Regions from separate parts of the Mus musculus genome. Here all the other regions are reported to be linked to region 4. The links are microRNA targets in miRTarBase. Many come from high-throughput screens and were not tested one by one. Region 4 holds a microRNA gene; each other region holds the end of a gene's coding sequence.

Evidence for each region. The annotated mature microRNA mmu-miR-132-3p reads UAACAGUCUACAGCCAUGGUCG and lies in region 4 at 3,233-3,254, opposite strand. An mRNA with a match to its seed (bases 2 to 7 or 8) in the 3' UTR can be bound and repressed. Matches are read on the target gene's strand: a 7mer-m8 pairs with bases 2 to 8, a 7mer-A1 pairs with bases 2 to 7 and ends in A, and an 8mer does both.
Region 1: miRTarBase lists Elovl7 as a target of mmu-miR-132-3p. Seed matches in the 3' UTR shown: 7mer-m8 at 2,784-2,790.
Region 2: the mRNA of Ep300 is a reported target of mmu-miR-132-3p. Seed matches in the 3' UTR shown: 8mer at 2,977-2,984.
Region 3: miRTarBase lists Usp54 as a target of mmu-miR-132-3p. Seed matches in the 3' UTR shown: 7mer-m8 at 5,718-5,724.

What each region holds. Positions count from the first base shown.
Region 1 is chr13:108,280,684-108,288,355 of GRCm38, forward strand. Elovl7 (ELOVL family member 7, elongation of long chain fatty acids (yeast)) reads left to right here. Exons shown (of 8, transcript NM_029001.5): 8 at 1,789-6,426. The coding sequence ends at 1,998. Among named protein-coding and RNA genes, the nearest start is that of Depdc1b, 32 kb to the right of the region's middle.
Region 2 is chr15:81,649,040-81,656,711 of GRCm38, forward strand. It overlaps Ep300 (E1A binding protein p300), which reads left to right. Exons shown (of 31, transcript NM_177821.6): 31 at 1-3,038. The coding sequence ends at 1,943. Among named protein-coding and RNA genes, the nearest start is that of L3mbtl2, 11 kb to the right of the region's middle.
Region 3 is chr14:20,543,970-20,551,641 of GRCm38, forward strand. Usp54 (ubiquitin specific peptidase 54) reads right to left here. Exons shown (of 21, transcript NM_030180.2): 21 at 4,943-6,491. The coding sequence ends at 5,932. It overlaps Ppp3cb (protein phosphatase 3, catalytic subunit, beta isoform), which reads right to left and starts at 2,604. Exons shown (of 14, transcript NM_008914.3): 1 at 2,387-2,604. The coding sequence starts at 2,471. It overlaps 1810062O18Rik (RIKEN cDNA 1810062O18 gene), which reads left to right and starts at 2,324. Exons shown (of 6, transcript NR_033571.1): 1 at 2,324-2,375.
Region 4 is chr11:75,169,305-75,176,976 of GRCm38, reverse strand. Mir132 (microRNA 132) reads right to left here and starts at 3,295; the gene lies at 3,230-3,295. It overlaps Ovca2 (candidate tumor suppressor in ovarian cancer 2), which reads left to right. Exons shown (of 2, transcript NM_027136.3): 2 at 1-1,034. Mir212 (microRNA 212) reads right to left here and starts at 3,589; the gene lies at 3,499-3,589. It overlaps Hic1 (hypermethylated in cancer 1), which reads left to right and starts at 6,722. Exons shown (of 2, transcript NM_010430.2): 1 at 6,722-7,672. The coding sequence starts at 7,458.

The DNA.
Region 1 (7,672 bases), not on the chromosome of region 4:
AATTGGCAACAGTCCCAATGACCAACCAAGAAGAAGCCGTGAAATGAATACTTTAATTCATATGTTTGCTTTCTTCTTACTTGGGAATACTGTGAAGTCATGGTTTTTATTCTCCATTGCTGCTTTCTCATTGTGCAGTAATATGTTCTTGTCTCAGAGAAATTAAAACTCCCGAGGAAGGAAAATCAACTGGGCTGAGGTGTGGCTTAGTGTAGGAGAGGTTTCTTAGTTCCGAGTACTATATAAATGAAAAATCAATCAATCAATCAATCAATGAAAATACCCATCTCTCTGGAGTAGTAGCTCTTCTTTTTGTTTTCACTCAGCTTCTCCTCTTATGCGTGTAGATGCATTTACATCTTCTACTGGCTTCATGTTACTGCATTCATAATCTTATTATACTAGTTTATTTTCATCTAACAAACGTTATGACATTTTAAATGAAGTGAGTCAGGTATACTTGTGCACACCAGCAGAGCCAGCCCTTGGGAAGCAGAGGCAGGAGGGTGGGGAGTTCAAGGTCACGCTCGCCTACATAACAAGAATGAAGCCAGCCAGTACCACATACCACTTTGTTTCAGAAAACAAAAGAATTTCAATAAAGTGGAAAGATGTGTGCATAAAGACGAAGGCTAGACATCTGTTTGCCACGTGTCTCCAGCACTCATGTGTGCAGAGAACTCTGCTTCACCTTTCCAAGGTTTCATTATTCTCTTGCAAAATGAAGGGAGTCGATGCCGCTGCCAGACAAGGCAGCCATGGGCATTTATCAGGCTATGGTAGTGAAGGTTGACGCTAACAGTAGTTATATTACATAATGTCAAAGATTCAATCATGGTTAGTTAGCTCATAGATACTGTTTCTTTATAAAGATTTTTCTAAAAGTTCCCCAACTAAGTTTAAATTAGGTATAAAAACCTATGAAGTGGGGGACGCAGCGAGATGGCTCAGGGTGGGTAAGGGTGTTTTCTACCAAACCTGATAACTTGAGTTTGATCCTTGAGACACATAGTGGAAGGATGGAACAACCCAGCCTGCACAGGCATGCAAAGGCTCATGTATAGCCCCCTCTCTACCAAAAAAAAAAAAAAAAAAAAAAAAAAAAAAAAAAAAAAAAAGCATCAAAGAAAGTACCCAAGAATGTCTAAACACTAACATAGAAAGTCTCCTTATTATGAGCATGCGGATTCTTCCAGCCCAGAGAGACTTTGAGCATCCTTGGGACGCCAACCAATGTCCTCCCTCTTTTTATGCCTTTTTGGACAGCTGGGCCTTCTTCCCCTGTCTTTTCCTTTCTTAGAGGTGAAATCTCACTGTACTGCCCAGCTGAACTCAAATCATGAGCTTAACTGATTCTGCTACCTCATCCTTTCAGGTAGCTGAGGTAGGTAACAGGTGTGTCTCACCATGCCCAACTCCTTCCCAGGACGGTTTGGATCTATGGTGATGAAGGACCCGTAGCAGATCTAAGGGCATGCTTTGGCTCCATCAAAACTAGAAAGGCTCTAATTTGGATGGTAGTGTCTTCTAAAATTTAAAATACTTCATTTCCGAGAACAGAATGTAACATTTAAGTAGGATCTGCTGGAGTGCAGTGTTAGCACTGAATATTGGTCCCAAACCCCCATCTAAATTTGACACCGTACCTAACCTGTTCTCACTCCTAGAGAGAACATATAGAAAGACACCCTGCTCTGCCTAGTAGTAATTTAGGTGTGACTGAAGAACTCATCAACCCGTGTTGGTCTTTTCATAGCTAATTTCTTTTTTATTCTTCCCATCTCTCAGGTCCAGTTTGTTCTTGTCACTATCCACATAGGCCAGATCTTCTTCATGGAGGACTGCAATTACCAGTACCCAGTTTTTCTGTATATCATCATGAGTTACGGATGCATCTTCCTGCTGCTCTTTCTCCACTTTTGGTACCGTGCTTACACCAAGGGTCAGAGGTTGCCCAAAACTCTAGAAAATGGAAATTGCAAAAGCAAGCGCCACTAAAATACAGACACAACCTGAATTTACAATGGAGACTGATATCTTGCCTTCCTTGACAATCAAGACATACTTGCCTATGCAGTGCATTTTGTATATTTTTCAAAACCAAGAGCTTGTATTTTTATGATAAGTTATTTGGGTTTCTGATCTCTGAGAGTCCAAAGCTCCCAGATAAGTCTTCTCAGTGGAAGAGCCTGGAACAGCCAGGAGGTTTCATGTTGCCTTTCAAACCAATCAGAGGTCTTAATACATCTTGCTACATCAAGAGGAGGGTATGAAGTAATGTAGTGCTCTCCTAGGAACCCCAGAAATGATGACAAATACTAGCTATTTTGAACATGGACAGAGGTCCACAGAGTACGATAGATTCCTCCTGCTTGATGTGGGAACCCCTGATGCTGGGTTCTGTCTGTCACTCATCCCTTATGTTCAGACAACATTACACTCGTTCTAGGGCTCAGTTCTGAAGTGCTAACACAAGTGAAGCCTAAGTGGATTCTTGATAAGCTCTCATTCTAAATTTGTTAATGGTAAGTTTGAATGGTCTTCTGGGTCATTGCCACAAGATCTGCCCATAAGACTTCCTCCCAACTCATGCACAAGCTGTTAGAGGCTGTGATGCTATGGTATCCGCACTGATGCCTTTGAGCCCAAGGTGGAGGTAACTTTATGTTGCAAACAAGATGATTTGTCTCAACGGTTAATGAACGCTTTGCTAATGACGATTCTACAATTAACTTCTGTGCATATCTGAAAAGAGGGATGTGTGAATAAAAAAAAAAAGAATAGACTGTTGGATTCAATGAGGAAAGGTATAATCTGTTGCAGTATAATAACACTCTCTGATATGTCCTGGTTTAAGGGATTGTTTTGCCAAAGTAAGTGTTGGTTAGATATTTAAGTGTTCATGTGATTGGCTTACCTCAGGTGCTTCTGAATCACATATTAATTTTTGAATATCTACTATGCAAACGGCTTATGAAGCAACCAGAGTTGAGTGGTGCCGAGTATCAGAGGCAAGATTTGGTTAACAAATAAACAAGGGGTGTTATGTCCTGAGAGATAAAGACACTGAATTATGATTGTGTGTGTGTGTGTGTGTGTGTGTGTGTGTGTGTGTGTGATTTCCATTTCTTCAGACCTATAAGCCATATTGTGAAGGGCTGAGATTCATGTGGCATTCCCTAACCCCCACCCCCTTTAAAAATGCCACTTTCTAGAATTTCCTTCTTCTTTCCGGTGAACCAGAACAACTTAGCAATACTTGGACGCTTGTGAAGATGTCAATATTATTTCCTTTTCCTCTTCGGAGAACTTTTCAAAATCAGTACACCTTGGTCATGGGCGCCACACAACGTTGCTCATTTTGCAATAAAGCCTGAGTCCTCATTGACCATAAACTATGAGTTTTGCCTGCCCTCTCCTGATCCATTACTCTGTCTCCACATTCATTCAGTTTATAAAGTTATTCGCCATTAAGTGGCCTTTAGTGATTCCACATGCTTACAATGAGAAGCGAGGATGATAGGCTTTTCATATTAAAAAAAAAAAATTTTAAAAAGGCCACAGACAAGCCGAGCTGCAGGGAACGGCTGTGCTAGTCTGTCGCTGTGAAGGTCTCAGGGATCCATGTTTTCCTACTTTGACTCTGTGTGTCCAGCCTGGGTTAAGATGGGATGGGATGGTAGACACTGGCACATACACAAGCAATCCCAAAGACTCAAACAGGGCAAAGACCCAACGGAATTGAAAATAGAGACTAAGACAGGAGGTTTTGATTTATTTCCTCTTCTTGCTCCATACCCTCTCCACCCCTCCTCTAAGTATTTAAAATGTCTGATGTGCCCACAGACTGAGAGCAACATTGTGACATACCACAGTCTTAACTATATGAATGAAGGAGGGAGGTGGAAGTTACATGGAAACAGATTAAGGTTGACAGTCAGTGTCCCCCAGGTAAGTGTTCCTGGAGCAGAGTGAGTGTCACTGGTTGTAGGGTTTGTGTAAGCAGTATTCGGTCAAGTGGAGTTTCTAATGGGGTTTACCTACTTTTCAGGACTTTATTGTCTTTAAATTTGCTTGCCTAATAAGCAAAAAGCCCAGCTATTAAGTATAGTTTATTATAAAAGTTCTGTGGGCCCTTGAGGTCCAATATATATGATATAAATACAAAATTTAAATTATCTGTAGGGTATTATGACTTTCTGTCTACATACTTAATGAGAATTCTAATTTGAGTATATACTGCATTGTTTCATAGTTTGGGAAATTATGAGATTGTATCCCTCGGCTATCTCTTATTTCTGTTTACTTTTTAATGACTGTGGAAGTTTTGAGAAGTTGGACTTGCTCTCTTTGCTATAATAAATCTGTGGCATCATATGGACATGTGTGTGTGTGTGTGTGTGTGTGTGTGTGTGTGTGTGTGCGCGCGTGCGTCTCATTTTGGAATCTAGCTGCTTTGATTTGCCCATGTGAGTGATTCTAAATCTGAATATTCTCTTAGTCAAAGCACTTGGCATACTTGCTGTCATGTGCTTGCTGTCTTCAGAGAGAGTATTGTGCTGGATGAGAGTGGTTCAAAATGCCCACTGGAATTGCCTGTATCTTATCACCCCGCAGATGGATGTTCAAACAGCACAGCATAGGTACAACAGGAGGCCATGTCCTGCCATTCACAAATTCAAAAAACTATTATGAAGGCATTTGAAGGCGAGTATGTATTATGTAAAATGTGTAAAATCCAAAATGGATAGTAGGTTAGTAGACCAGATGTCTGCAAATAACACGGGGCTCAAGAGATGGCTCAGTGGTTAAGAGACCTTATCGTTTTGGCAGAGGACCTGGGTTTGGTTCTTACTTGACAACTCACAACTGTCTGTAACTCTAGTTCCAAAGGATCCAACATTTACTCCTGGCCTCCACAGGCATCAGGCACACCCACTGTGCTCACACAAACACACAAACGAACACTTATAACCTAAATAAATAAGAACTTAAAAAAATAATTTTGTCATGTCTAACTGAAATAACAGTTTCTAGGTACCGATCACCTACGTTTGTTAAAACAACTGATGGCTGAATGCCGGGGAAGTTGGGGATGGTGACTGAGGCTGGTGCAGTCTGAACCCACTGATCTTCTCAATACCGATCAAAGTGAGATGCCCAAGTGCTCTTTTCTTTTTTTAACATGCTATTGGATTATGAAATCTCTTTGCCCCAGTTTGTGTTTTGAATTGAATCTAAATTTCTATTTCTTTTTTTGTTTGTTTGTTTGTTTTGTTTTGTTTTTCGGTTTTTCGAGACAGGGTTTCTCTGTATAGTCCTGGTTGTCTTGGAACTCACTTTGTAGACCAGGCTGGCCTTGAACTCAGAAGTCTGCCTGCCTCTGCCTCCCGAGTGCTGGGATTAAAGGCGTGCGCCACCACACCTGGCTTAAATTTCTGTTTCTAAATCAGTAATGATAATAATAATAATTCTGTTGATATAGGAAGATATTTAAAGAGACAAAGTAGATCAAATCAGCCATATACAAGGTAGTAAATTATAGGAGTTTCATCAGACAAGTGGCCCAATTTATTCACCAAAAGTGACCTTAAAGGGACAAAAAGTCAAAAATGGGAGAGGGGGCTATGAATTCCAGTGGCAGAGAACATGCCCAGCATGGCCTAGCCTCCATCCCCTGCATCACCACAAGGAAACTGAAGTAAAGACATGGAAGAAAGTCTAGTAACTTGAGACCTAAAATTCAACAATCCAGTATTTGGATATAAATTTAAACAAACCAATTATAAGAGGATTTTAAAATAATTACACATGGCATAAATATTAGATGATACTAAGAAACTAATACTGGATATTATCTCTGTACTGCAGCCAGACTTTTGAAAAGTTCTAATCCATGAAGATATACGTGTATGCCCGTGTGTGTTGTGTATAATTGACAGTTGTCTGGCTGTGACCTTTTAATATAATTCTCCATGTTGTGGTGACCCCCAAACATAAAATTATTTTTGTTGTACTTCATAACTGTAATTTTGCTGCTGTTATTAATCTTCATGTAACTATCTGATCTACAGCCCCTGTGAAAGGGGCTGAGACCCACAGATTGAGAAACATCTGCTCTAGGTGAACAGTTTATCCATAAGAAAACAGTCAAATGTAAAGAATGAAGCCTTAAGATCAATAAATATACACGTGTCTGTGCATTAGTTGCTATTGAAAGAAGGCTTGGACTGACAGCATGGCTCAGCAGGTCAAAGGGCTTGCTGCCAAATGTGACAGCCTAAGTTCCATTCCCCAGGACCTCTACATGGTGGAAAGAGAAAACTGACTCCAGAAAGTTGTCCTCTGACCTCCGCACACACACTCCATAGTACACATGTGCAGTCCTCCCAAATAAATAAATAAATGCATTTTTAAAGTTTAAAATTCTCTTGTCACTATTTTCTCTTACATTTAAAACACATTATTCGGAATGAGAAGGAGAATTGGTGACAAATGTTAACTCTAGGTTCTATTGACACTTCTCTCTGCCGTTGTATATATTTGAAAGTTCCCAGCTTTTAGCAAGCATTGTGTATGTTTTACCGTTATGATTTTGATTCCAGGTAGACATCAGAGACATAGTTGATGTGATTACTCACCATTGACACCAGTGTCTGTCTGTCTGTCTGTCCCTCTCTCTCTTTTCTCTCTCTTTCTCTCCTCTCTCATATATACATATATCATGCATCTATATCTATATATAATTTATAGTACATATATAATGTATATCTCTATATACACATATGATTCATATATGTTATATATGCACATTACGTTTGCTTACACATTTCTTTTCAAACATTTTTATATTAAAACAATATATATGTGTGTATATGTATGTATGCATGTATATGTATGTGTATATGATATGTCACAGGGTTTCATATAGCCCAGGCTGTCCTTGAAATCACTATGCAACCAAGGATGACACTTGATCCTCCTGCCTCCATCTCCTGAGCCCTGAGATTACAAACAGGCACCACTGCACCTATTTTATGGCTGCACGTTAGGCCAACATTCTGTCAACAGATCCATATCCCAAGTCTCTGACAAACTTTAAACTGCTCTTATGTAGACCCTGATCTCAAAAGGTTTTTAGAAGGCCTACATAAATAGTAAATAAAACCAAGGCAGGCTACATGTTGCCAAGTTAAAAGTTTGTTGCAAAAATATGAGACCTTTCCCTAAGCTGACATTTTGCTACAACAGTAGTGTTGAGTTGGGCTTGGTGGTGCATATTGGGGGTGGGGGTGGGGCTGATGCAAAAGTATCACAAGTTCCAAGACCGCATAGCAACATTGTGTCAAAAGAGAGGAAAGGGGAGGGAGAGGAAGGGAGAAAGAGAGAAGGAATCTGATCTGAGAAATGACCCTTCAGAGGGATCCTGGGGCTCCCTCCCTGCTGCTGTTTAGCTACTTCCTTCTTTCAGGAAGCAGCCCCGTATAACAGCAAGTGGTTATCATATACTGTTCTACAGCATGGCACTATGTAGGCAAGCACTCAGAAGAGGACGGGCACAGAAAGAGAGAGAGAGTGAGAGTGGTTACAGAGACACAGTTCAGATCAGAGACTGAAGGAACTACCATCCAGAGACTGCCCCACTTGGGGATCCATCCCATAAACAACCACC
Region 2 (7,672 bases), not on the chromosome of region 4:
ACACCAAAGGCTGCAAACGGAAAACCAATGGTGGGTGCCCCATTTGCAAACAGCTTATTGCCCTCTGCTGCTATCATGCCAAGCACTGCCAGGAGAACAAGTGCCCGGTGCCATTTTGCCTCAACATCAAGCAAAAGCTCCGGCAGCAACAGCTGCAGCACCGGCTCCAACAGGCTCAGATGCTCCGTAGGAGGATGGCCAGCATGCAACGAACTGGTGTGGCGGGGCAGCAGCAGGGCCTGCCGTCCCCAACTCCTGCTACACCAACTACCCCTACTGGCCAACAGCCAGCCACCCCACAGACACCCCAGCCCCAACCCACCTCTCAACCACAGCCCACTCCTCCCAACAACATGACACCCTACTTACCCAGGACTCAGACTACTGGCCCTGTGTCCCAGGGTAAGGCACCAGGCCAGGTGACCCCACCTACCCCACCTCAGACTGCTCAGGCCCCCCTTCCAGGGCCTCCACCTGCAGCAGTAGAAATGGCAATGCAAATTCAGAGGGCAGCAGAGACACAGCGCCAGATGGCCCATGTACAGATTTTCCAAAGGCCAATCCAGCACCAGATGCCCCAGATGTCACCCATGGCCCCTATGGGCATGAACCCACCTCCTATGGCCAGAGGTCCTGGTGGGCATTTGGATCCAGGAATAGGTCCAGCAGGAATGCAGCAACAGCCACCTTGGGCCCAAGGAGGAATGCCTCAGCCCCAGCAGATGCAGTCAGGGATGCCAAGGCCAGCCATGATGTCAGTGGCCCAGCATGGTCAGCCTTTAAACATGGCTCCACAACCAGGATTGGGCCAAGTGGGTGTGAGCCCTCTCAAGCCAGGCACTGTGTCTCAACAAGCCTTACAAAACCTTTTGCGGACTCTCAGGTCTCCCAGTTCTCCCTTACAGCAGCAACAGGTGCTTAGTATCCTTCATGCCAACCCCCAACTGTTGGCTGCATTCATCAAGCAGCGGGCTGCCAAGTATGCCAACCCTAATCCACAGCCTCTCCCTGGACAGCCTGGCATGACCCAGGGACAGCCAGGGCTGCAGCCACCTACCATGCCTGGCCAGCAAGGTGTCCACTCCAACCCAGCCTTGCAGAACATGAATCCTCTGCAGGCAGGTGTCCAGAGAGCTGGCCTGCCCCAGCAGCAGCCGCAGCAGCAGCTCCAGCCACCCATGGGAGCAATGAGTCCCCAAGCTCAGCAAATGAACATGAATCACAATACCATGCCTTCACAGTTCAGAGACATCTTAAGACGGCAGATGATGCAACAGCAGGGAGCAGGGCCAGGAATCGGCCCTGGAATGGCCAACCAGTTCCAGCAGCCCCAAGGAATTGGCTATCCACCGCAGCAGCAGCAGCAGCAGCGAATGCAGCATCACATGCAGCAAATGCAGCAAGGAAATATGGGACAAATGGGTCAGCTTCCCCAGGCTCTGGGGGCTGAGGCAGGAGCCAGTCTACAGGCCTATCAGCAGCGACTTCTTCAACAACAGATGGGGTCTCCTGCTCAGCCCAACCCTATGAGCCCACAGCAGCACATGCTCCCAAATCAGGCACAGTCCCCACACCTACAAGGTCAACAAATCCCTAATTCTCTCTCCAATCAAGTGCGCTCTCCCCAGCCTGTCCCTTCTCCTCGACCACAGTCTCAGCCCCCCCATTCCAGCCCATCTCCGAGGATGCAGCCTCAGCCTTCTCCACACCATGTTTCTCCACAGACCAGTTCCCCACATCCTGGACTGGTAGCTGCCCAGGCTGCCAACCCTATGGAACAAGGGCATTTTGCCAGCCCAGACCAGAATTCAATGCTTTCACAGCTCGCTAGCAATCCTGGCATGGCAAACCTCCACGGGGCAAGTGCCACGGACCTGGGACTGAGCAGCGATAATGCAGACTTGAATTCAAACCTCTCACAGAGTACACTAGACATACACTAGAGACACCTTGTAGTATTTTGGAAGCAAAAGATTATTTTCTCTTAACAAGACTTTTTGTACTGAAAACAATTTTTTTGAATCTTTCTTAGCCTAAAAGACCCATTTTCCTTGGAACATGTAAGAACTGTGCAGTAGCCATTTATGGTTTAAAGTAAACAGGCCAGATGAACCTGAGGGATAATAGATTACAAAGAATATATTTTTGTTATGGCTGGTTACCCCAGCTCTTTTTCCCCTTGTGTGTGTGGTTCAAGTGTGCACTGGGAGGCAACTGAGGTCTGAAGCCAACCATATGCTCCTGCCTTGCCGATAGGTTTTATTATTTTTTTTAAATTAATGAAAATATGTAATATTAATAGTTATTATTTACTGGTGCAGATGGTTGACATTTTTCCCTATTTTCCTCACTTTATGAAAGAATTTAAATAAAAAAAAAGAACATTTCTAAAACCAGAGGACAAAAGGGGTTAATGTTACGTAAAATTACATTATATATATATATATATATAAATATATATAAATATATTAAAATACCAATTTTTTTCTCTGGGTGCAAAGATGTTCATTCTTTTAAAAACATTTAAAAAATAAAATAAAAAGCCTCCTCTTTCCATCCCTCAAGTCAACTTTTGTGCTCCAGAAAATTTTCTATTCTGTAAGTCTAAGGGTAAAACTTCAAGTATTAAGATAATTTGTACATGTAGAGAAAAAAATGACTTTTTCATAATATACAGGGGCAGCTGCCAAATTGATGTATTATAATATTGTGGTTTCTGTTTCTTGAGAAAAATTTTTTGTTATTTTTACATCTAACAGAGGAAAAAAAATTTAAAAAGAGGGTAAGAAATGACTCCAGTGGGGTGATTTTAACATGCAAATGTCTGAGATTTCTTCACTTGCTTTCTTCCTTACTCTGCCCCACACACGTACACTTTCTGTAAAACTTGAAAATAGAAAGCAAAAACCCTCAACTGTTGTAAATCATGCAATTAAGGTTGATTACTTATAAATATGAACTTTGGATCACTGTATAGACTGTTAAATTTGATTTCTTATTACCTATTGTTAAATAAACTGTGTGAGACAGACACCTGAGCTTGGTGTCACTTCTTTGGGGCTCATCTTCTTTCTTAGAGAACACAAGGCTAGGCCTGGAAATGAAGCTGGTGCAGGTTTGCCTGATGTGTATAAGTTAGACCCCAACCAGCCTTGGGAATGCCACAGTGGGCATCTACCTGCAGTCCCAGTCCTTACAAGGTAGAAGCAGGAAGATAAACACTGGGCTGGAGAGATGGCTCAGCCGTTAAGGGCGCTGACTGCTCTTCCAGAGGTCCTGAGTTCACTTCCCAGCAACCACATGGTGGCTCAGCCATCTACAATGAAATCTGACGCCCTCTTCTGGTGTGTCTGAAGACAGCTACAGTGTACTCACATACATAACTAAATCTTAAAAAAAAAAAAAAAAAGCTGGAAGTCATTGTCGACTGTAGCAAACTGGAGGACATGAAGCCCAGGCTTATGAAGACCCAGTTTAGTGGATCTCGGCACAATAGGAAAAGAAAAACCTGCTACTTAGCAAGCCTACTATTTAGAGCAAGAGGAAAAGGGAAATGCATGCAATAGTTTATTACATTTTGATGAGTTTTTCCAAGGTTCAGGTGATAGTCATCTCTACCAGCCAAATGTCAAAGTGTGGTTAGCTACCAGATGAGGAAGCCCCGTGAGAAAACCACTGCAAGTCCAAGCCAGCCTGGGTTACACAGTTGAGACAACCCTGGCCCATGGAAAAAGCTATTTATTAGCCTTTGGTGGTGGCACACATCTTTATTCCTGCACTTAAGAGGCAAAGGCAGACACAGACTTTGAGGCTAACCCAATCCAGTTCCCAAACAACCAGGAGGAACAGAGAGAGACTATTACCTCTTGCCCTAACATTTTCCCACTTTGATTCAGGACGTCCTATACTGTAAAGAATACCCTTTAAAAACTATTACATTTGATTAATAATAAATTGAATTACTGCAACTTGCCAGAGTCAGCTCTTCACTGATACTCAGGCAGGAGGTAAGGATCCACCAGGTCAGCCCTCTGACCCATGGATGACTTGAGAGGTTTTTCTGTTTTAATGCAGGCACTCACCACGTAATCCTGACCTCAGGGATTGCAGGCATTCTGACGCTAATGACTCAAATTAGTTCTTCATACAATTTAAGTCTTGAAATAGAAGAGCATTATTTTGATATGGGTTTGAACACCGGGCAGTGGTGGCACGCACCTTTAATCCCAGCACTTGGGAGACAGAGACAGGAAGATTCCTGAGTTCAAGGCCAGCCTGGTCTACAGAGTGAGTACCAGGACAGCCAGGGCTACACAGAGAAATCCTGTCTCGGGAAAAAAAAAAAAAAAAAAAAAAAAAAACACACACACACACACAAAAGACTTATGTATACCTCTTTGACAGACTGCAAGTCAGTATGTCAATTCAGCTGGTCTTAGACTCAAAACATGCCTGCCTCTGCCTCCAGAGTGCTGGGATTAAGACAGTGTGCCACCGGCCTACCAATCCTTAAAAAAAAAAAAAATGTATATAGGTGTTCTGCCTGAATGTATATATGTGCCTCCACATGTGGGAGCATTAGATGACCTGGAATGGAAGTTATAGAAAGCTGTGGGTCACCATGTGGGTGCTCCTTATGTGACACACCTTTTCCTGGAGAGGGTAAATATTTATCCACTTGTTATGGGGTCTGCTTTGATCCAACTCAAACACCTAGCCAATGCAAATGACAAAAACTTATTGTAATCAAGCTGCTACTGATTGATCAGGGCCTTACCCAAAATAGGGAACCCACATCAGACCAAAATAAAGATATCACCAAAGGTCCAACCTGGTGAACTAAGGAGTTTAGGAGGGGGGATTACTTACAGGAGCAGGAATGACTCAGAGACAGCTGCATCATCAAAGCCCACCAGCATGTGGGTTACACAGCTCACAAAGCTGGGAACCTAAAGCTCTTCCCACTGCCTGCAGGCAGCTCAGCAGGTTGGAGAATATCCTTCTCAGGTGCCTCAGTTGGTCTAAATCTCTCGAAGGCTGCTCTTCTTGTTCTGAGTCTTCTCTGAAGACTTACTCCCTGCTTACTCTGTCAGGGAGGAGCCTAGGGAATCTGCTCAGTTTCAGGGAGTTCCTGAGACTATTCTTGTTGTTGTTTACCTCCCTGCTTAAGGAACTTCCCTTCAAGATGGAATATTTTAATCTTTGAGGAGACTGTTAACACTCCACTCCTTCCATGGGCTTTTACATCCTTTGTGCCCCTTATTCTGCAGTAATCCCTGAGTTTTGGGGTTGGGGTGACTATAGACATGGCTAAGTAATGGGCCACCATGCCACAGTAACAGCCACTTGTTAAGAGCTTTAGAAGTGGTTAGAATTGAGGGAGTAGCTTTATGGCTGGAGATGCCTCAGGGGCTTCCCTGGGCAGCAACTCGGAGGTAGCCCACCCCTGGCACTGGGATTTTCCTTCAGTAACTATATGGCCTCCAGGAGTGTCCTTGTCCACCCATGTAAGGTACTTTTTAGAATTAAACTATTTGGCTGTTGTTTTAGCAACCCATTTTTCTTTTTAATTAACCCAGCCCCAGTAGGATCATAAGATAGATGGAATATACTGGTTGCCTCTCCAATGGCTTACCAAATCTGCAAGCACTGTTTGTGTATGTGTGTGGATGTGTGCACATGTGTACAGGAGGTGGGAAGGACAAGGCAACATCTTGAACCACCATACAACAAAGATAACGGTGAAGCACTCTGAAGGTCTGCTGTCATCTGTTCTCCGCAGTGATGGGTGAGCCCAGAGGATTTCATCCTTTTTTTTTAATCAATTGCTTCCTCCACTAATGAAGGTACAAAGCCTGCATGCATAGATAGGAAGCGCTGATGTAATTAGCTCTCTTGATCCTTAGCCATTCTCTCTGAACTACCAGGCTTCCCTATCCTGGAGCTCTTCCATGAAGCATTCTCCACACCTGATGAACGCTGTGGGCCTTAGTTTGCTCGTACCTATTCAGAGCCAGAGAGCAGAAGACGCAGCTCTCCCAGCATTACCTGGGGCTCCCTGGGTCAGAGCTGCCCTGGGTTGGCTCTGTGGATGTAGCAGTAACTGCTGAGACACCATCTACCATCCCTGGTGGTTGGGGGAGTTCCTGATTGGGCAAACTAATTTCACCCCTAGTATAACCTTTTGCTGGAGGTAAATGTCCCCTCCTTAGTCTGGGGGGATAATGGTCTACTCCTAGGACAGTCTGGATCCTCTTCACCTGTACTGTTCTCTCACAGATGTCTTCTGTTTGCTGTCCCTTGGGGTTCTTTAGCACAGCGCAAACAGGCTTTCTATCACATTGTTTTCCTTTCAACTCCAGCTCAACATAAATTTTGCTCAACATTTGTTTTCAAGTAACCCAGATAGACTTCTCTGGCGTTCCCTCATTACTGTCTCCTCTAGGCGTGTGCCACCACACCCGGCTGGAGCAGCCTTTTCTCTCCTCTGTGAACACAGTTCTGTACAGCCCAGTGAACTGGGGTTCAAACACAGCTTTCCTTGTTCCTAATTTCTTCAATTGTATCTGCTGCTTCTCTGTGGCTCTTCAGCTCCTGATGTTTGTGAGGACTTGAGATGGATATAGGCAAGTGCTCCTAGTGGCTCTGCTAAGCCGGCGCATCAGGACCTGATCTTTCTGACCCTGACGCAGGCCATTCAGCCTTTGCCTTAAGAAGGAACAGGAAGTTACATTATTCCGTTTTCCCGCATCCACACAAGTCACACTGGTCCTATCTCCTCCCAGGTCCTATAGCCTCCCAAGCCAGGCTTGCCACACTCTTGCCTTACATTGGACCATGGTTAGTGCCCACATCTGTGTGCTGCATCAGATTTTCCCTCTTCTTCTACTCAAGGTTGGACTTGAGGGGGACCCATTGCTGCTTTTTTTTTTTAATATCACTTTTATTTAGTATGTACTACATGCACATGATACAGACAGGGAAAAAATTTTAACTCCATGCATAAAGGACAAAACAGACTGGTGCTATGTCAAACATGCACTGAGTCAGTTAGGATGTTGTTCAAAGTTCCTTCAATTTAATGGTGTCCGTGAAATTAAGTGCAGCACAGTGCACACACGTCTGGATAGTGTCTTCACGTAATTTCCTGAGCTGTCTTTGCATTCTGTTTTTCTTTTGCCTTTTCCCCACGTGGAATTAACTGCTGGTGTTCTGCTACAGTCTTTAGTAATTCCGTGATGAAAGGCAGGTAGTTATGGTTCCTTCTGATATTTTCAATCTTCTGTCTCTTTAACTTTCGTGCCTCTTCTTCAGTAAGCATCTGGTTTCTGGCGACTTCTGACTGATACGTGAACAGAACACAGCAGAGTTACAAGTGTAAGACCCGAAAAGCCTTACGTCCAGGATGCCCCACTCACAGAGACGCAGAGATGGAGATCGATGCAAAACGCAAGAGGTTTATTGGTCCAGCATGCTGGGGTCGTCCTTACATCAGGATGGAAGCGACCGCTAGTAGCTAAAGTGTACACCTTTTATACATCTTTTTTAGAGCAGTTCTCAGTCACAGTTTAGAGCTGGCAGTTTATCATTGGCTAACCTTTAACTGCATTAAAAGGGGCAGACTTAAGAACCGGAGGCCAATTCTGGGAAAAGAACATCTTGACATTTACTT
Region 3 (7,672 bases), not on the chromosome of region 4:
CATGCTGTTGTTGTTTTACTTATTTATCTTTTAAGACAGGGTGCATTATGTAGCTCCGGCTAGCCTGAAACTTGCTATGTAGACCAGACTGGCCTCAAAATTAACAGCAACTTCCTGCCTCTGCCTCCAGTGTGGTGGGATTAAAGGCATGTGACCACAGTATCAGGAATTCTAATACATTCCACATAGAAATGAAAGTTGTCACCATGAAGAAGATACAACTAATACACAACATGCATTAACCATACGTTTATAACTGAAATTTCCCAAACAAGCTCCTTTCCTACTAAGAAAATGGTTTTCATTTCAAAACAATAAACTGTAAATGGCTATGTATTAGACTCACAACTCACCCCTAAAGAATCTGCCTTCTGCTTGCAACTCGTTTTTCCTTCATTAAAGCAGTATGAGAAAAAGATTGCTACATAAATGACAAGGAACAAGATTCACAAAAGGACAACATAAATACATGATTTGGGAATGTGACTAGTTACGTCAGCTATTATTCTGGTGAAAAGTATCCAGAAAAATAAGCACACAGGAAATATAGTTAAGAAAATGAAGAAGCAGGCAATGGCCTGTTTCAACCCCCACCTATACAATTACAGAAATTAATAGGATCAATGCCTGATCTTCTATCCTTCAAGAAAAAAAAAAATCCCAGAAAAAGAAGCTCATAAACTATTCATTCTAGGGGCTGGTGAGATAGCTCAGCGAGTAAGAGCACTGACTGATCTTCCAGAGGTCCTGAGTTCAAATCCCAGCAAACACATGGTGGCTCACAACCATCTGAAATGAGATCTGACACCCTCTTCTGGTACGTCTGAAGTCAGCAACAGTCTACTTATTTATAATAATAAAATAAATCTTTGAGAAAAAAACCTATTCATTCTTTTTTTAAAATTTATTTAATGTATATGAGTACACTGTCACTGTCTCCAGACACACCAGAAGAGGCATCAGATCCCATGACAGATGGTTGTGAGCTACCATGTGGCTGCTAGGAACTGAACTCAGACTTCTGGAAGAGCAGTCAGTGCTCTTACCCGCTCTTACTCCAGTCCTATTTAGTTCATTCTAATGCTTAACCCAACCACATATGTCATGCTTTAAGAACCTAAAGTGCAGATTGAAAACAGAAAAAACACAGGTGGGCAGTGGTGGCGTACACCTTTGATTGGGCTCTTAAGAAGCAGAGGCAGGCATATCTCTGAGTTCCAGACCAGCCTACTTTCCAAGTTCCTGGCTAAGACTACGCAAAAAAGCCCTATCTCGAAAAACCAGCACACATACATACATACATACATACACACACACACACACACACGAGAAAAGGGTTTGTTTTAAAATATTTTAATGGCAAACCATGGTCACAATTCAAAGCAAAGCTAGCAGTATTTAAACACTGTGCCAGTCTATACTTGAGACACTGAATTTGAAAATTAAAATAACTTTAAAAATGAGCATAATCTAAATGACGAAATCTTCATTTTACGATTTCTGCTTATTGACTGCAAAATAAAGAAAAATAATTTCAGTTCTTAATATTCTTAATCCATAGTATTAGTGTGGTAGATGGGCTCTCTCTGAGAGCCTGGACTTTTAAGGAACTTTCAACTGCCTCTCAATTTAATTTAAATAAATCTGTTTATCTGTACACACACGTCCTCCCTGGCTCAGAAGAATTTCACTTTTCCTTCTAAAGAGTAAGTCGTGTGTTTAGAGGCGGCTTGTAAAACCCTTTCTGTTAAGTGTACCACTTCCTATACATGGGACTTTTTTGCCTCCTCTTTGTAAGATGGCTTTTTCCCCTGCCCCGCAGCTACGTCTGGGTTCCTAGGTCACCCCGGGATCCTTCATCCTGGTCCAGTCCCATACGGTTTTCCCGATTTCCGCGCGGGGTGGCATCTGAGGGCCGAGCGCAAACCCCCTGCGGCTGGCGCTAGCTAGGCGTTGTCACCCGGGAGCAGGCGTGGGCCAGAACGCGGGCGAGTCCAACGGCGTGCGGCTAAGGGGTTCCGGGGCCCCTCGGTGCGCCCGGGCAAGCCGGGAGTGCAGCTGTCGAGGAGCCGGAAGCTCTTAACGCGGGCGCCGCGCCGACCACAGGCAAAGCAGGAAAGAAAGGGGCTCACTGCGGCGGACGGCCCTGAGCCCGCGTTAGCGACAGCCCGCGCACGACGCCCGCCCGGGCCTGCAGGGCGAGCGGGAGACCGAGGAGCAGCCTACGCCTCGGCCCGGCCCAGCGGGGACCCGCCCAGGGGCCACTCCCCAAGGGAGGCAGCCAGTCACTCGCCCGCCCCGCCAGGCCCGCTCCTGAGGGGACGGACTCCCGCCCGCCCTCACACCGCGCCTCACGCCAGGCCCCCAGGCTTCGGGTACCTCTCACCTTTGACGACGCGGTCGGCCCCGAGAGGGGGCGGTGGGGGCGGGGGCGGGGGCGGCGCGGCCCGGGCCGGCTCCGGGGCGGCCATGCTGGGCCCGGGGCTCGGCTAGGTGCCGGGACGGGCGGGGTTGGGGGCGGGGGCGGCGGCTACCAGAGCCAAGCGGCGGCGCCGCCGGGGAACATGGCGGACCCTCTTTCCCTTCAGAGGGGCTAAGACCGTCATGCATCGCGCGTGCAGGGGCGGGGGCGGGACAAGCTCCAGGGACTTGAGCAAAATTACCGAGGCTACTACAGAAACGGAAACAGTCCAAGGGATCAGGTGAAAATTCCGTACATGCAGAAAGACAAACCAGTAAAGAGAGGTTGCAGATTAAACTGAGGGGCTGTTGATAAAATGCAAGGGGAAAAAAGGACGGTTTTTTGGCCGCTTTGGAGCCCAGGAAAATGAAGAGGTGTAATTTGATCTCAGAATTTCCCAGGCCTAGACAAATATATGACAATTTATCTACAAAATCTAAGTGATAATACTATGGCCAGAGAGAAAAATGAAAGAAGCATCAGGGAATCTATAGAGTGGCATTATCATTTAAAATGAAATTTTCCCTTTAATACCAGACCTCAGGAGGCAGGGGAAGGCAGAACTCTGTAAGTTCAAGTCTAGCTAGGTCTAACCACTCAGGGCAACAAAGTGAGACTGTCTCAACAAAACGGGGCCCTAGAGAGTTGCATAGAATTCGAACTCTTGCTTTGAGAGTTTGGAAAAGTCCAAAGGCACATAAATTCAGCTGGAAAAGTCTAAGCACCACGATTTAAGAACCAAAATGGATCAAGGGAAGTAGGGAATGACACCAAGAGGTGTCCTGAGAACCTGTAAGATTCCCCTGGAAAGCCATTGCCTCTCTCGTAATTCACTGAGCAAATAAATTTGAAGGCAGAGAGATGGTTCAATGGATAAAGGTGCTTGCAGCCAAGGACTGTGATTTAAGTTCCTTAGGACTAATCCCCATGGCCGAAGGAGACAATGGAAAGAAGGAATTAGACTCCTTCTAGTCTGACATCTACTAAAACTTGTAAATAAAGAAATGAAATAGAAAAAAATGGAAAGCAGAGACTAAGTAGGTAGAAAATAGGAAATTAGTTCCTTATCTTTGTACATACTCGGAATTTGAATTTGGGCAACTTGCAGAAACAGATCCAAGTTGACCAGCATCCAAGAGGTCAAGAAACAAGTACAGGTGGTCCTTAACAGTTATTAATAAGATGCTCAGATGCTGAAGGCATAGGCCACCAAACCCAGTAATGGAACCACAGGGCACACAAGGTATTAAAAGAGAACTGACTAGTACAGCTTACTCTAGCCTTCATGTGTCCTCCTCATACATATGCACAGTCATTACACTTCTTCCAAAAAGATAGAATTGTGTGTATGACACGAGCAGTGTTGAATGGTTCAGGGGCCAACATATCTACTAAGGCCCATGTCTCTATGTTATAGCATCCAAATAGGATGAAACAAGAAAGCCCTCTGTATCTTATTACTCAGTAACACAAGTTCTCAGAATCTGTCCTCAGTGATTAGGAGGGCAACGTTCTCAGCATCTGTTGTTTCTTTGTGTTCATCAGTAAGATCAAGATCTGGAATAAATAAGGAGGGAAAACCCAATAGACATTCTTTGCAAAGGGAACCTTCCAAATTATTTTCTTTTGTGTGTTTATGTGTTTTACCTGCATGAATGTCTGTGCACCACATGTGTTCAGTCTCCATAGAGGGCAGAAGAGTAGATTATATTCCCTGGAACTAGAGCTACCAAATATTGTGAACCACTATGTGGTACTGAAAACTGAACCTGGGTCCAATACATGAACAGCTTGTTCTCTTAACCATTGAATCATCTCTCCAGCCACTACAAAATACTTTTCAAAGGAAAGAGACTGTTGGGAGTGTGTCATGGGTGAAGATAGCTCTCATTATCACAGAGATATTCTGACTCTTAAGGGGAAAGGAAAGGGAGCAAGGCAATAGGAAGAGCAAAGGATTGGAGTCACATCACACACCTGGAATGCAGAGAGGAAAGGCACCAAGGCTGGTACTGTACTGGGAGTGAGTTTGTCAAGGTGGTTTGAATGCCCAGAAGACAAGGGGAGGAATGGAGAATGTAATGCACTGAGTGTCCCAGGCAGGGGAGGGATAGTTAACACGCTAACAGCCATAACAAGAGGGAAAGACTCTTAAAGATATGTTGACTCCATAAGTGAGTTTGTTTTTTTTGTTTGGTTTTTTGGTTTTTCGGTTTTTCGAGACAGGGTTTCTCTGTGTAGCCCTGGCTGTCCTGAAACTCACTTTGTAGACCAGGCTGGCCTCGAACTCAGAAATCCACCTGCCTCTGCCTCCCAAGTGCTGGGATTAAAGGTGTGTGCCACCACACCTGGTCAGTTTGTATTTTTAAATTCCTCTTTGGCTATTCATTTTCACTTGGTCAAAGGCATTTCATATAAATGTTGAAGCCTCCCGACCCCAGAAGAAAAGAGCAAGGACATACAAAAGTAAAAGACAAGAGATTAAATACAACTATCTTATAGATTTATTAATGAAAAATACTTTACAAAACCAGTATGCTTTGCCCTAAAATACTTTAGCTGACTCTTGAGAGTTTACAAGGGTGAGTGAGCAGTGGTAGTAATGGCTCTGCTGCTAAGGACAGGAGGGGTGTTAGTGTGCCCAACTCCATCTGTTCAGAAGGGCAAACAGTGTATTGGCAGCTCCACATTCTAGGCCTAAAGTCTGAGTCACAAGGAAGGCTGACAGGCCATAATACCTGGGCAGTTGGGCTTCCCTTAAGGACGTGGTCAGAATCCTGACTATGGGGATAAATACCCCTTTTCCATTGATACGAAATAGGGAAGAAAGAATGTTAAGTAATATGGACAGGTGGATAAACAAAGAGTGTAAGTTGGGAGTATAGTAGGACCAGAAGATGAGGGCTCTGATGGAGATGGGGCCAAAAGAACCAGAACTAAAGTAGTCCAGACTAGTCTAGAACTTGTTATGTAGCCAAGGATAACCCTGAACTTCTGATCCTCCTCCCTCTGTCTCCCAAGTGCTAGGATGACAGTTGTGCACCACCATGGTCAGTTTCACACACTTCTAAGGATAGAACCATGGCTGATGTGCATGTTACAAAAACACGCTACCAATTGAGCTACATCCCCAACTCTAAAGCTGGAATTTCAAATATTCCCTCTCAAAGCAGCAAACACCCTTAGGGGAAAAAAAAATCAATGTCTTCTTTGTTGTTGTGGTTCTGTTCTTTAAAACAAAACAACAACAACAACAAACAGTCTCTTTTTACCCCAGTCTCTGGCCTTGAAATGCTGATTCCCCAATCTCTACCTCCCAACTACTGGGATTACAGGCATATGGTGCCTGGAATGAAATGGCCAAGTCTGTTGAGATGAGACTGGCATAACTGGCAGGAAACAAGGTGTCACTGCGCCGCCGTACAGTTTTATGGATGAAGGTGTAGCTCCAGGGCAGGTTAGGGTGGCCCTTACCACCTGCTGTGCTGTAGAAATCTCACCCTGTTCTGCTCTCTTCCAGCAGCATTTGATAGAGCAAACATAATTCTTTCCTCTCCTGGGCTCCTGTGTCTGTCCTGGGAGGGGTAACTGCTCTGTCTCCAGTCATCATCTGGGGGCATGTCTATTCTTCGTGGACCAGGTGTTCGGGACCCCAGAACAGGACCAGAATTCCAAGTTGACCTAAGGGGTACATGAAGATTGCTGGATGGTGGGGACCCTGGGTGAACAGCAGAAGGATGGGAGGGTGAGTGGAAAAGATTCCCCCAGGACTGAGCATGTGGAACCTGAAGGCCCTGGTGTCTTTCTGGTAGTGTGGCAGTGTAGGTTAGCTGAGGCTTGCATGCTGGCATAGTTAGGACTCTGGCCCCAATGTGCTGGTTGGTCTCTGACCCTGGTCCCCAGGAAGCATCAGTTCTGGAACGATGAGGTAGACTTCGGTAGTTCAAAGTCCTTCCTGTGTACTTGACCCCTTGGGGAGTTTCATCCCTGTCACACATAGCCAGAAACTGGTGGACACTCCTTGAAGTTCCTAAGAAGAGAAAAGAAACCCAAACACTGAGCATCTTTAGAAAATAAATCTACTTCCCAACCCTTAACTCCTCCAAGAATACATACAAGAAACCTAGGTTCAATTAATATGTATATATTTTAATTTTTCCCCAGTCCTGAGGATTGAATCCAGGACCTGTGCATGCCAGGCAAACACTTTACCATTAAGGTATACCCTTAACCCTAACTACTCCTAAATATGTTAAAATCAACCTCTTCTATCACAGGGGAAATGCAACAGTCTCCTGGATATTGCCATAACTACTTCCAGTAACAATCCTTCTCTAACAAATACACTCATGTACACACATGTACAAATCTATTTACAATTTCCTTGCAAACTTTTATAGCAATTACACTAAAATCTCCACTTGGCTTTTCTTTTTCTAAGATGTATATTTTATTCAAGAGGAGGGGGTTGGGGAGAGAAGGGCAGTTTGAGATAGGGTTTTCTGTGTAGTCTTTGCTGTCCTGGAACTTACTTTGTAGACCAGGCTGGCCTGTAACTCCTAAGGATCTGACTCTGCTTTCTGAGTGCTGGAATTAAAGACGTAGACCACCCTTGCCTGGATTGTTTGGCTTTGTCTGTCTGTCTCTGTATCTGTCTCTCTCTGTGTTTTTGTTTGTTTGTTTGATTGTTTTTGTTTTCTTTTGAGACAGGGTTTCTCTGTGTAGCTCTAGCTGTCCTGGATCTCAGTTTGTAGACCAGGCTGACCTCCGCCTGCCTCTGTCTCCCAGTTGCTAGGATTAAAGACATGCACCACCACTGCCCAGACACTTGGCTTATCTTAACATGGTACTTTGACTGCTGTTAGATGGCCTCTACTTAAATCCTTGTTTCATTTCTGAGATCTCTGCTTTTGTTCATCCACACTTACCTCATACACATATAGAAAGAAAATCATTTTCTATACGTTTCTTTCACTATGGCACTTGTGACATGGCGGGCTGATAATTCTTTATCGAGGATAGAAGGGACTGACCTGTACACTATATAATGTTTCAAAGAATCTTTGTTCAACATCCATTAAGTACCAAGTAGTATGTCCACTTTCAAATTGAAAACCAAAGACTTAAAATATAAGTTAAACTCAAAAGGATTAAAAAAAAAAAAAAAGAACATCTTCCATGGAGGTCAATGAAAGCCAGAAAGGTGCTGTC
Region 4 (7,672 bases):
CCAAGATATCACAAGGTACTTACCTAGTCCCACACCACAATATCTTCTAGGGAGCTTAGTCACTGAGCAGGAGTTGGAGTTGGCCAGTTACTCCCAAGTCATTCTTATACCCAGAGTTATATGTTCTTGACACACAAGTGTTTCAAGGTATACATCAGAGAAATGGTTCTGTGGTTAAGGACATGGGCTGCTTTTTCAAAGGACCCAGGTTCGGGCTCCAGCATCCACAATGTAGCTCACAAACATCTATAGCTCTTAGTTCCAGAGGCTCTAGTCCCAGGTCCCAGGGTTGTACATGATATGTGTTTAAAAAGTCAATGACCCAATGGCCATGGTGGTACATGCAGGCAGAGGTAGAGGACAGTCTAGTCTAAAAACAACCAGTTAGTGGTGGCACGTGCCTTTCATCCCAGCACTGGCAGAGACAGGCAGATCTGAGACTGAGCTTATCCTAGTCTACAGATGGAGTTCCAGGACAGAGAGGGCTACACAGGAACGCTCTCTGTAACCTCTGTTAGATGACCAAGGCAGAGCCTTGCCATGTATTCTCTTGCCCCGAACTCCACTTACATAGAAGTCTGACTCAGTTACAAAGGCCTCTGGCTTCTTTAGGGCTCAAGATTTCCACCAAAAGACAGTGAGATGGCTCAGCAGGTTAAAGGCACTGACTGCTAGCTAACACATGCCATCTCATACACACTAAACATTTTAAAATTTCACGAAAGGATAGACTGGAATTATACCCCAAAGTCCCATGTACTGATTTGAGATCCCTTTTTAACAGCTTGGGTGGGGGATTGGTCTCTGTGCCTTGTTCTTGCCTTACAGTGATTGCTTCCTTGACAAAAGGAGATTGAACACGTGGAATTTTATAAACCCTTTGGTCTATTTGCTTTTCTGTAACTAATTGGTGGGTTTGCAAGTTAGTACTCAGACCACTGGCAGTCATAGGCAGCCCCCTGTGTCAGCTCCAAGCTGGGGGACAGGATGACCTGTACTTGGTAGCCCTATAAATAAAGGCAAAGGTTCATGTGAGTGGTCTGTAGGCCCTGGCTCTACCAGGAAAAAGGGAGGAGAGGGTTCAAGCAGAGCTCTATTAGGTGGAACACACAGAAGGGCCCATGTCTGAAGTGAAGAGCCCTCCCAAGAATCAGAACAGTTCCGAGTCCCAACAAGTGGAGAGTTACTTCCCACCATGCGGAATGAACTACCACATGCACATCCCTGGGGGCCACCTACACAAGGAACACTTGTTAAACCTGGAGTTCCTAGAGAAAACTATAGACCTATTTGTCTGCCCCTGGTCATTCCTGATGTAGCTATTTGCAAACTACAGTCTTGGGTAGAATTTTAAGTCTCTGGTAAATATGTGGTATTAGGAAAGAGCCTCTAGTGGGACTCAAAACCCTCTGGGGAGAAAAAGAAGCCCCCTCCCCCCGAGGAATCAATGCTCTAACATTTATGTACAGCCCAGGCGGATAAGGTCCAGAGGTAGAAATAACATTTATTGAGAATTAACTATACCAGACAATGAGACAAATAGAAGCCTGTCATCTAACTTATTTTTGAGACGGGGGTCTCACGGAAGTTCTGGTTATCCTTGAACTCACAGAAATCCACTTATCTCTGTCTCCCAAGATCTGGTATTCAGAGCATGCTCTACCATAGCCTAACTCATTTATTTTTGGTGCTGGGATCAAACCCAGGACCTTAGGCATGCTAAGCACAGACCTACTACTGAGCTCTATGCCCAGCACCCCTGTCCCCCCCCCCCCCCATTGTCTAATTTCATGAAAAAGTACTGTCATTAACCTAATAACTGAGTCTTACAATTGAGGAAACAGGCACAGAAAGGCTAAGTACCTTACTCAAAATTGGATGATTCAGACTCAAAAGCCCCATATTCTTGTCTGTTGTCATCATCCCCCCCCCCTTTGAGACACGAATCTCATATTTATCTCATATTTATTGTCTAGGCTCCTGAGCAACTGGGACTGCAGGTATACACTGCAGCTCCTGGTTTTGGTTGGTCTTTCTGCTGTCCAGTAAAAAGCAAGCAAAAACTACCGCTCTCTATAGGCTAAATGCCCAACCTGGGCTTCTGCTTTCTAATGTGTAAAGTTGGGAAAGAAGGCATGGTTTACACTAAATGTTTTCTAGGACAACGAACACTCAAAGCATTATATAGTCAACCTTCTAACCACATCTTCTGATGGGTTCCATCTGCAAAAGGTCCTCTTTTCTTTTTTTCTTTTTTCTTTTTTTTTTTTTTTTTTTTTTTTTTTTTTTTTTTGGTTTTTTTCGAGACGACAGGGCTTCTCTGTATAGCCCTGGCTGTCCTGGAACTCACTTTGTAGACCAGGCTGGCCTCGAACTCAGAAATCTGCCTGTCTCTGCCTCCCGAGTGCTGGGAATAAAGGCGTGCGCCACCACTGTCCGGCTGTCCTCTTTTCAAATTATCCCTGCTATTTGTTTTCTGCATCTTGATTACACTCAGGATTTCTACCCTATCAGACAGAGTCTCTCAACAGCCCTAGCCACAGAGAGTATTTACGTGCAGTCTCTGTGGTTGTACTCCTTTTGGGGGCACGTTTGAAGATCTCAAGTTGGGATGCATTACTTACAGACCAGTTGAGGGAAGACTGCTGGCTGATACCTTCAGACAATGAATTAGGGGCCAGGTGAATTTCACTAGCCTGCCAGCTTCTTGCTGTGTTAAGGACCCTTTTAATGATGGCCCAGGAGAAAGTTGGGGGACAGAGTTATGGCTCTATCAGGAAAGGGATTCTTTGCCCTTTCCCCTCTACCTGCTCACCTAGGGTTTTCTGGAAGAAAGGTGTGATAAAACTTCCTTCTCCTCCCCCTTCAGCTTTCTGCTGGCAAAAGTGACTTCTTCCTTCTCACAGGACTCCTGATCCCATCGGTTCACCACTCATGAGATAAGAATCCTTATCGCAGAACCACCCATTTTCTCGCCACCTTAGGCAGCGATACCTCGACTAGGAAGACAGGAGAGTCTCTGAGGAGGATGTTCAGACACTCCGCGGATCTTGCTTCTGCACCGAGGTAGATGCACAGCAGCCTGAAAGGCCGCCTTTCTGAGCACACCTCTTGCCACCTCCGCAGACACATCGAATGTTGCGTCGCCGCCCCGCCTCCTCTTGCTCTGTATCTGCCCAAACCCAGGCTGGCAGAACTCGGGAGTGGTGGGGAGCGTGGGCGTGCTGCGGGGCGACCATGGCTGTAGACTGTTACCTCCGGTTCCCACAGTAACAATCGAAAGCCACGGTTGCCCTGGAGACGCGGGGGCGGGGCTTGCAGGCTGACGTCAGCACCGCGGGCGGCGGGGGTGGCGCGAGTGTCTGCGGGGCCTGCGCCCACCGCAACCCACAGGGACCTTGAACAGGCGTGCCCGAGGGAGGCGCTTGCACTGCATCAGCACCGCGGACAGCGGCGCAGGGAGGCGTGGAGGGGCCGGGGGTCGGCGGTCCTGGGGCGGGGCCAGGCGTCGGTGGCCGTGACTGGAGACTGTTACTGAAGGCGGCCCGGGCAGTAAGCAGTCTAGAGCCAAGGTGCCGGCGCGCTGCCCGGGCGGGGATATCCCGTCGCCCGCAGTTGAGAGTGCTGCTGCTTCTCAGGCCCCCCCACCTCCTCCCAAGCGCGCGCGGACAGACACGCGACCGTGACGTCAGAGTCCTGTGACGTCAAAGATGTCCCAGCGGGGAGGCATTTCCGGCGGTGGGGAGCGGTGGGGGTAGGGCGGGGCGGCCTGATCGAAGCCCCGCCCCCGCCTGGTCCTGAGAGGACAGCTCCGCTTGCAGAGGCGGGAAGTCCTGAGCTCAGTGGGACAGTCCGATGGGACGGGACGGGACCGGACGGGAAGGGACGGGACAGGGAAGGGGCGTGTGTGGAGCATGCAGGACGGGGGTCCCAAGAAAGCCGCAGGGCCGAGGTGTGCGTCTGTCTGTCGTGGGCGCCCTGGCTCAGTCAGTCGGGGCCATCTAGGCTGAGTCACCGCTCTGCGGACAGGGGAGAAATGAGGGGGCGCGTCTCCTGAGACGCCAGCACCTTCTCCCCACTTTCTTGAAAGGATGGCGCAGGAGCTGCTCAGCCTCGGGAAATGGGGTCGGGGGCTCGGCTCTCCGCTTGATGTTTCTCCATAGTGTCTGCGTCTGCATTTGGGTGCCGGCAGGTGCTGCATAGGGTTGGGTCAGCCGCCGGCCCCTGGTCCACCAAGCTGAAAGGAACCTTCGTCCCTCCCACTCTGCCCCCCATCCTCACTCCGGAGTCCCCCTCCAACCCGCCGCCCCTCCGGTCCCCTCCTCGCCTTCCCATGGCGTCCGCGCATCTGCCCATCTCCGACTGTTGGTGGTCCTTACCTGTCGGGCCGCGTCGCACCAGTGCCGGCTTGCCTCCCGCAGCCCGGCCGGCGCCGCCGCTTTTATAGGCGCGCGTAGTACTCGTGCGGCGGCTCATTCATGCGGCCGCGGCTCCTACACACTGACGCGCTGCCGACGTCAGCAGAGAATTTAGGAAACGGGAAAAGAGGCTATTTATAGTGGCAAGCGGGGAGGGGGGGCGTAGGGGAGGGCGGGACGAAGCGACAGGGAGTTGGAGCGGGAGGAGGGTGCGCACGCGGAAGCAGGGTTGGGTAGGGGAGTACGTAACCCCAGGCTTGGCCTCCAAGGGGTTAACTTTCCGGAACTGCAGGCGACGGGCTGGGGGAGAATAGTGCAGGGAGGGTGAGGCCCCGTTCTGTGTTTATTCACTCTCCCCTTCCGGGGCTTTGCGAGTCCTAGGATCTCAGTTCTTTTCTCCTGGACCGCAGGGGTCCTCCCTTGGCAGCCCCAAACCACACTGCTCATTCCCTAGACCCTACAGTCCTCTGACGCCAGAAGATGCCCCGCGATGGTATCACTCCCATTTGGCCACCGTGGTATCCTCGCTCTCTCCTGGTGTGTGTGTGGGGGGGGGGTGGGGGGTGAGGCAAGAAACTGGACCGGTTTAGGAGGGGAGTAGAGTGCACCTCGGACTTTGACATCTAGGAGCTGGGGAAAGAGGGGTGGAGAAGCCTGGGAGTTTTGGAAGGCTTCTTGACTGGGTCACAGGAGGAAAGGTACCGGTCAGATGGTGGAAACCGCAGAGAAGATCAGGGAGTCTAAGGAGAGTGGTCTGGACTTTAGAAATGAGCAGAAGATCTTCTGTAAGAGTTTGGAAAATCCCTGTACGGAGTATCCACAAAAGGAAGGGCTAGCCTGACAAGTACTGGAGAGCCAACTTGGCAGTGCCCCAGGGGGCACGAGGGGGCCACCTCAGTGGGGTGGAATAGGCATAGGCAGAGCCTGTAAGAGAGAAAATGAGACTAAGGGGGCTCAATAGCTTGGCAGAGGGTGTGTGTAGCTGGGACTCCTTTCTAAAGGAGTCAGAATAGACTAAAGGCAAATACGATATGGAACAGGTCCTCCAAAACAGCCCGATTCTGTCTCCGGGCTCTAAATGGGGTCGTCATGCGTTCACGGAGAGGAGGAAGCTGCACCAGGATGACCAGAGGAGCTCAGGAAGAAGGGGAAAGCAAAGTTAAGAGGAGGGGCATGGTGGTGCGCATCCTTGTACGTGGGAAGTAGACGCCTTTGTGAGTTCGAGGCTAGCCGTAGACTTGAAACTGTGGTGGTGGTGGTGGTGGGGCGTGGAGGAGAGGAGAGGAGAGAAGGGGAGGGGAGGGGAGGGGAGTACACAGTGAAACTTGGGCAAGGTTTATGTGGTTGGCCCCATAGCGATACAACAAGGGCTTGAGTCGGTGGAGAGGGATAGAACAAGAAGGAACTGAAGACCCAGCCGACCTCCTTATGGGTCAACCAGCGGATAAACTCCATTGTGTAAAACACATACAGAGCTTTCTCTCCAGACTCGCACGATCTAACCCCATTAAAAGGAGAAAACATTTAAAACAGAGACATCAGAGACACCCTTGCTTGTGGGAGAACTCAGAGTTGTCAAAACTCATCCCTAAGAGCACTTCTGGGGAGCCTTCTTATCCTCAAACGCTCCGTTACACTTCCGCTTCAGCCCCAAGGCGTATCCCTCGACAGAGATACCAAGGTACCTCTTCACTTCTCCTAGAGCTCAGAAATTGTGGAGTCCACCGTGGGACTGCAGTGTTTGTCTTGTATGGACACTGTACGGAGATACGAAGTAGTAAGTGGATTAGATGGAGGCGGAGCACACTGTCGCGGAAACCTGGTGAGCCTTGAAGACTCTTTGGACCAGAAGCCTAGGCCAGGCATAGAAGTCTCCTGCCAAAGAAACGCAGCCTCTAGGAGGCGCCCAAGACCTTGGTGTCTCACTGGTACAGCTAGAGGCCCGGCCGGCTGCCCCGGGCGAGTGACTCAGCCACTACCTCAAGCGGGGGAGTGGGGGCTCGAAGACAGCGTGGGGTGCGGCGAGCGTAGCCCCCACCCGCCCTGCGCCCCGCGCGGTTGCTAAGCTCTCCAAGGCCTCTGAGAGATGAGATCCCGGGAACCTCATTGGTTACCATAGTAACTCTGAGCCCCAGCCTCTCCGGCTTGGCCACGGAGGATGGCGCAGCCAATAAGAAGCTGTGGGCGGTTTGGGGGGACCCCCCCTATAGCGTGGGCGGGGGTCAGGAGGTGCGGGGAAGAGGCGGAGCGTGGGCCACGGAGGCGCGGTGCTTGCAACGGTGCTTATGCCTCCGCCCCGCTATGCAGGGACATTTCCGGTGAGCACCCAAGAGCTGGTGCACGCTCCCCTCCCTCCTAAAAGAGGAGTCACCAACATGAATGAGCTCTCCCTTGTGTGGCGTGTAGGATCTTTTTTTGAGGGGGTCTCAAGCCGCCCGTTCTCGTGATATCTCTCGAATGGTGTATTGGGGGGGGGCAAACTAAGATCCCTCAAAACTGCTTAGATGGGGGATTGGGGACTTGAGGGGCACGTCGCAAGGGGGCTCTGTCCAGCTATTTCCAATGGAGGGCTCTAGGGTCCTTCTGGAGACCCGCAAGTTCGGGGAGGGCTCTTTGGTAGGACCTCTACCCCGTTTCACGTAGTAGCCTCCGCAGTAGCCCAAGAAGTTGGGACTCCGGGAGGGGGTGGGCGGTCTGTGTAAACATGGCGCGCCCTTGTCACTGCTTGGACAGAGTTTGAGTGTGGACGGTTTATGATGTGCATACTGATAACATGTGTCTGAGGGAGAGTTGGAATGTGTCTCTCTCCACTGAGTCCAAGTGAATAATGGTGTTCAGAAATGTCTAATAAAAGCCGCCCCGCTCCTGCTCCGAACGTATGTACCTTCATCTCACTTAGGATTTCTAAGCTCGCCCTCTCACAGAATACTGTTCGTAGTGTTCCACCCCAACCCCTTTTCTAAGATAGGGTCTCAGGTAGTAGAGGCTGACCTTGAACTCCTGGTCCTCTTGCTTCCAACTCCTGGGTGCTATGCTAGGATGATTACAAGAATGCGCCACCATCCCTGGCTTAAGAGTTCCTCATTTGAAGACAGAACCTTCCCCTCCCCCCCCCCGAATTGGCGCGATATAACATATAAATATGTACTCGGGAGCACTCAGCACAAAACCCCCAGGTTTATGGGACTCCCAGGTCCGATATCTGAGTCTCCAGGTGGGCACATCTGGAAGCGCGCGAACCTGCAAGATCTGCT